2 linked regions of the Callithrix jacchus genome follow. The protein of the gene in region 1 interacts with the protein of each later gene in a biochemical or structural test. Links are inferred from orthologs where the notes say so. Each region holds a gene or a part of one and is shown in the gene's direction. Other genes may lie near its edges.

What was found.
Region 2: the proteins of PTPN3 (region 1) and SCN5A form a complex in vitro, tested with the Homo sapiens proteins (2 studies listed by IntAct, with this or other methods). The link is inferred for Callithrix jacchus from reciprocal best matches to the Homo sapiens genes PTPN3 and SCN5A.

Annotation. Positions count from the first base shown.
Region 1 is NC_133502.1:157,754,051-157,757,200, reverse strand, and holds the end of PTPN3 (tyrosine-protein phosphatase non-receptor type 3), read left to right. Parts: intron 1-368; coding exon 369-504; intron 505-1,126; coding exon 1,127-1,204; 3' UTR 1,205-2,518; downstream 2,519-3,150.
Region 2 is NC_133518.1:76,507,615-76,511,214, reverse strand, and holds the start of SCN5A (sodium channel protein type 5 subunit alpha), read left to right. Parts: upstream 1-1,350; 5' UTR 1,351-1,516; intron 1,517-3,600. UniProt on the Homo sapiens protein: Pore-forming subunit of Nav1.5, a voltage-gated sodium (Nav) channel that directly mediates the depolarizing phase of action potentials in excitable membranes.

The DNA of each region.
Region 1 (3,150 bases):
TAGTTCTTCACTATTTCAAAAGTGATTTGGAATTTTATGAAATCCTAAACTTGTGAATGCAGCGCAGAGCTGACGAAGAAAGTCCCCCGCACGCCCTTTCTCCTGCCCTCTGTCAGCTGACCTTCATCATAGATATGAGTGAGAAAGGGAGGGGATTTGGCACTTAGCACTGGCTCTCTCTCCACTGGCTGTTAGCCCCCAGCCTCGGCTGTGTGAGGATAGGCTGTCTCAGCCTGTTTGAGAGCGCACCCTGAGTGCATTTTGTCTTCTCCAAGGCCAGGAGAGGAAAGCCCCTTCTGAGTCAACACTGGGCCATGCAGAAAGGCTACTCAGACAAATCCCAAATCTGTCTCCTCTCCCCTTTCCAGTGCTGGAATAGGTCGAACCGGTGTGTTGGTCACTATGGAAACAGCTATGTGCCTAACTGAGAGGAACCTGCCCGTTTACCCCCTGGATATTGTCCGAAAAATGCGAGACCAGCGCGCCATGATGGTGCAGACATCAGTGAGTAGAAATCCAGTAATAATGATGGCTGTCCCCTTCTGAGCACTTACACCAGGCAGGCCTGAGAGGAGGGCTTCGTCGGTCAAGAGACTGCAGCTCAGGGGACTGAACCACTTGCCCAGATTCTCAGAGCTTGTCAGTGGCTACAACCCACACCCATCTCCCTTCTGAGCTCTGCTGCCTCTGTGGTTTGTCCTACCAGCCCGTCTGTCAGGGAGGAGCCCTGGTTGGATTCTGTATCATTGAACCATCGTTTCTACATCACCTTCCTACCTAGACCTGGGTACTCCTTTTGGCTCCGTGCATGTTTCATATGACCCTACTTTGAGATCTGTCCCACCCATGTGGTCCCTGAGTACCTGCACAGTCCTCCATGGGTGGAACAGCTCAAAGCAGGGTCATGTGCCACATCCTCTTGTCCTCAAGAGGAACCCTTGGGGATTTCCCCTGGAACTCCAAGCAGGGCGGTGACGCGGTGTGGAATGAGCATGATTAAGGCTCCACACAAATGGGGGAGTTGGCACTCAGGAAGTATTTACAAATGCTGCAAAAGACCCACCGGTACAGGGTGGGCAGCATTTCCTGAAGCTACGGGACTTAACAGCTTTGTTTTCTTTTCCAGAGCCAATACAAGTTTGTGTGTGAAGCGATTCTTCGTGTGTATGAAGAAGGCTTAGTCCAGATGCTGGATCCTAGTTAAGACAACTGTGAAAACGTCCGTTCCTCTTTCCCAAGGCCATCCTCCTTGAGAGAGGAGGGCAGACCTCCTCTCTGGAAGCAGCAAGAGGAACCAGTAGCTGTGGGAAAGGAATGGGCACCTCTGAACCCAGGCACTTTAAATTTCTGTAGAAAAGACATTGTGTACATAGGAACTGGTGTAGATAAGCATGCATTTATGGCATCATTTAGGCCTGTATTTCTATGGAAAGATACAAAAGGGATCTCAGTTTGGGGCCTGTCCTAATGCCTTCTTCCCTAACATCACCACACACACCCCTGTTGGCATCCTGGAGCAATTGAGACGGGACACCCACAGAGCTGTTGACCTCCCAGCAACAAGATGGTATAGTTATCTCGGGTCGTTTGGATGTTTTGTTTCTGTGTGTCAGACTATAAGGGCTGAGCTTTCTGTACTTCTAGGTGGAGCTGGAACAACTCAGGTTCACCTGCACTGATGCTAAGGAAACCCTGACAAATATACTAAATGGCAGGGTGCTGGGGGTCAGGCTGAAGGCTGAGCAGCACCTCTCTGCCCTCTCTCCCTTTGTCTCATCTCCCGGCAACTTCTGATACTCATGTTTCTGAGAATCGTATCCCCCTTCAGGTTTCCTCTTGGTGCCTGACCTGGATTTGTAATGTGCATTCAGGTGAGTTTTCAGCTGAGACTCTGAGAACTGGGACCCTCAGTATGTTCTGGTCATCTCGTGGCTTAGTTGTAGAAGCAGGTGTGTCTCTTGTCTCTGCTTGCCTCCTACTGCACACTCAGCACCCAGGACTGGAATCACTGACTACTGAATCTCCTACATGTATTGCTGCTACTTCAAGTTCCTACACTTGAAACTTTATGATTTTTCCAAGGGGAGATGGGACAATGTCATCTAAATATTCTGAATGTTTGGCCTTCAAGAAAAGAGCGTCTAGTAATTGAACCATGGGAAACCGAGCTTCTGGAGGGTTGGCCGTGGGGTGTGTACGTGTGTGTGCCCAGGGGTGAGTGTTTCTCAGGATTTCTAACGATTCAAATTACCGTTGAGTATACATAAAGAATGAGTCTCTGTATAGAAGAACAACTGTGTGCATTCACCCCCAGTTACAATGGTCTCCATTGCATTTCAAAGGAGAGGATCAGACTATCTGAATATAAATACAATCTGATGTTAATTTATTCTAAGACCATCACTTTGATCGTCCTAAAGAATTCTGCCTTTGTGAATACTGTGTTAAATTTTTTTAAATTTGTGACAGGATTGTAGCAAATTATTATTTAAGGAAAATAAATGGCATAAACATTTAATGTGGCATTTTTAAATAGTGGTTTTTATGTATTCAAAAGAGAGAGTTAAGCCAGGTTCTTAATGGTATTTATGGAAAAGATGTTTCCCTGTTATCGTGCACAGAAATGAAGCCATTTTGATATTCAGCAAATTCGGTGCCAATTGAATAGTTTGCTGGTGGCAAGATGGATAAAGACCTATATAAGGGGGTGGGAGGACCCTAAAGATTCTTTATTTCCAGAGCTAGCATATTTACTTGCATGCTTTCCGTCTTTTCTACATGGATATTTTACTGCCAAGTGGCAGAGGTGGGAGGGAGATGTCACACAGTACCATAACCCCATACTGCAAAACAAGAAACCACCAGAAAGTTTGCAGCTGAGGGGCAGGAGACTCAGTTCCTGTTCCCACTCAGCACTAACTACTTGGGGGCCTGCTCACTTAGCAGCTCTACCTCTTTTTCATTATCTGTAAAATAAAAACAATACGTAGGACTTTTAGATTGAACATGAGGATTGAATAAGATCATGCTATTCATGTGACTTCATCAGCTGGAATATCAACAGCCACTGCTGTGGATGAGTTACTTAGAAAAGTTTAGTTATCAGTGATTAGCCCAAAAACATAACAGTCAAAAGCAGAATCCACTGGA
Region 2 (3,600 bases), on another chromosome or scaffold:
TCCCCTCCTGCAAGCAGAGCAGCCCCTCTGTATGTCCCTAAGGCGTCCAGCGAAGCCCCACACCCAGGTTGCAAAGGGACGCTATCCCCCACCCGCTCGTCGCCCTCCCAGGTCTCCAAGATCCTGATCACCGAGGGGCAGGTCCCAGCCTCCGGGCTCCCAAACTCAGCACCTCTGTGCCCTCTGGGACCCCGGCGCCCATTTGTCTCTCTCAGAGCGGTTCTTGCTTCCGGGAACCCCGAAAATGTGGCAGGAGAGTGCACTGTCCCTTCCAATGGCCGCTCTGATCTGTGGGCAAAAGCTGGGAGCCTGTTTCGTTTAAAGCAGAAGTGTGTCCCCGCAGGTTCTGGGTAGGGGCGTGTGAGCAACGGTTTGTCAGCGTCTGTCTCCGTGCTTGTGTGCCTGTGACCCTGTCTCTGTGTGCGAGACAGTGGGTGTGTGGGTGTGTGACTCCAGGCCTCTGTGTACGACAAGGTGAAGGTTTTGTGTGGCCCAGGAGGGTGAATGTGTGTGTGTGTGTTTCTGTGTGTGTATGTCTGTGTGTGTGTCTGTGTGTCGGTTGCCTGCTTAACTCTGGGTCTGGGTGTGTGTGTGGTTCTGTCAGCGTGTGCGTGTGTTCAGGTAGGTGTGTACCGTTGTGCAGATGTCTGTGCCATCCCTGTGTCTCCAGGAAAGTGTGGTTGGAGTGTGTGCGTCTCTGTGTCAGTGTGTCAGTGGATGTGTGTCTAAGTCATGTGGGTGTCTGAGTTTGTCAGCGTGTCTTCCTCAGTGTCACTGTGTGTCAGTGATGTGTCTGTCTGTGTCTGTGGGTGTGTGGGTGTGTGTGTCTGTCTCAGGGTGCAGGTGTGTGTCTGTGTCAGTGCAGGTATGCCTACGGCAGCGTGTGTCTGTCTCGGCATGAGTGTCAGTGGACTCCCGTGTCCACGTGGGTGGGTGGTTGGGTGTCTGCTGTAGCCTTCCCAAGTCAGCAGGTCGTGTGTGTGGGTGCGCGCGCGCGCGCGCGACAGTGTTTGCCAGTGTGTGCCTGTCCGCCTCTGCGTGGGTGGCCATTTGTGGCGAAGCGTCCCCGGGTCGGCGTGTGTACCCCCCGCGTGTCTGTCTGCCTCTGCGTGGGTGGCCATCTGTGGCGCTGCGCCCCCGGGTCAGTGTGGGCGTGTGCGCCCGGGCGGGCTGGGCGGGCGCGGGTGTGTCCCCCTCCGAGCGGGCGGAGCGCCACGTGCGGAGCCCCGAGCGCGTCGCTCTGGGGCGGAGCCAGCCCGGGGCCCCGAGCCCCAGGCCGAGCCCAGGCGGGCCCCGCCCCCGACCCCGCCCCCAGCCCGAGCCCGCGCCGCCTGCCCAGCCCGGGAGCCCGGACCGAGCCGCGCAGCCGAGACGGCGGCGGCGCCCGTAGGATGCGGGGATTGCTCCCCCGGGGCCGCTGAGCCCGCGCCCAGTGCCCCGAGCCTCGCGCCGTGCCAAGCCGAGTCCGCGCCGAGCCGCAGCCGCCCACCCCGGGGCCGGGCCGGGGGACCAGCAGGTGAGCGAGCGCCCCCGCGTCCGGCAGCCCCGGCCCGGCCGGAGCCCCCTCTGCCTGCCGCCGCCCAACTTTCCTCCCCGAGAGCCGAAGCCTCCAGACCCTGCGTGCTCCTCCCCTGCCCCAGGTCCTCCCGGCCGCTCCCTCCCCGACCAGTGCCCCAGAGGGCCGGAGTGGGAGAAGGAGCGCAGATCCGCCCGGCTGGAGGGGATCCCCGGGGGAGGCGTCCCTGATCACCGCGCGCCCCCCTTCCCTTCCCTTTCCTTCCGGGTTTCCCGGTGCGCTGTCGAGGGCCGGGGGAGGGGGAACTGCGGCCCCCGCTTCCCGGCCATCCCTGGCGCAGGCTCCGGTAGGGTCTGGGATTGGGACCCGGATTCCGGAGGCCGGAGACCCCAAGGTCAGAGCGGCGACTGGGCGCGCAGTGATCGTGGTTCCAGAGAGCGGGGGTTGCGGGGGCTGACTGAGTGGGGCTGGATACGAGGGAGGAAGCCAAGCACCCCCTTTCTCTGGGCACAGAGGGAACCGTCTGCTCGGGCTGTCCTCTGTGTGGGACGAGATCTCTGCGCCCTTAGATCATGGAGAGATTTCGGTGCCCTTTGACGCACTAAAGGGGCCGCATCTCTTCTGTCTGATCTCTGTGCTGCTAGAAGGGGGAGAGATCTCTACGCGCTGAGATGGGAGAGGGCTCTCTGCCTTCCTCTCTCTCTCAGCCGGACAGATCCACGAACCCTGATGGGAGGTGTCTCTCGAACTCTGTGTTATTTGATCGTCTTTGGTGGCGCCCTGGTAGAAAGTGGAGGTGCCAAGCCTTGTCTGAGAGGCCAAGGGCTGGTCGGGGGCAGAGGTGTGGGGACTGTTAGTGGTAGTGATGAGGGTGGGGGGAAACGATATTGGGGACAGTAGGCCTGCCTTGCAAACAACTGTTGGAAAGCAGCGCACAGCCAGATCAGGACGCCATGGCTGAGATAGTGCAGGACACACTTGTGCTCCTTAGTGCCTTCAGCCCAGCCCCGGGCCATGGGATCCATCTCCTTTTAACATCCTGGGCCTACGGTCCATTCCCAGGTGTCTGCTCACCTCCTGCTGAGACCCCTGGTGTGTTTCCCGGTGAGCCTAGGCGGTATCATCCAGACAGGAACACCACATGACCCCCACCATGCCATGGCATCCCAAGCCCTCTCCCAGGTTCCCACCATCCTTCAGGATCTAGCGGACCCTAAGCAAAAGCGGCACCAGCTACTGGAGTCCCAGGCCCTCGCCACTGCCCTCAACTCCATCTCTTTGACTTCATCTCCACTCAGTTAGAATTGGGCAGGTACACCTGAGTCGGTGGTAATGAGTGGGAGGAGGAATGAGGGCGGTCAGGCTGCTGTCTCAGGAGCATGGAGAGGGTCAGGTCAGTCGACAGCCAGGGTATGGAATGCAAATTCTATGTTTCAGTGTCCAGCCCTGTGCTGAAAAGAGCCTCATTAAACTTTTGATCCTGTCACCACCATATTGTGCAAGTGGGGAAACTGAGGCCCAGAGGGGCTCAAGGAATTATTCAATGTCTTCTAGAGAGTCAGTGGAATGGGAGCACCACTCAGGGTGAAGATACCTTGAGATCTGCTTTCTGTGGGGCAAATAAGCCTAGAATTGACCCAAGAGGATCTGAGCAGAAGAGGAACTGGCCCTGGGGTGCCAAGAGCCAGCATTCAGCCCAGTGTGGCATGGGCAGCTGCTGTGCTCCAAGGTGCTCGGCCCCTTCTCTGTGGTGATCAAAGCTCCTCTGAAAAAATTCTAGGATTGACTCACTCAGCATGAAGACTGGGCTTGGAGGACTGGTGGGAAGCACCAGAGGCAGCTGGGGTTAGGGGAACAGCGGAGGCTGGTGCCCAGGCAATCCAAGGAGAGGGGAGTCCTGAGGGCAGCCAGGGACAGTGGCAAATTGCAGTCTGTGTCCTGTTCAGAGTAGGCTGGCTTCCGCTCACTCTTGGGAAGGTTATTGGAAGGGTGTGCAGTGATAGAAGTGTGTCCGTTCCCGGAGCCCACTCACAGGAGAGGTGGTTTCCTTTGGCTGGGATAGTCAAGAGTCTTATTCTAACAAA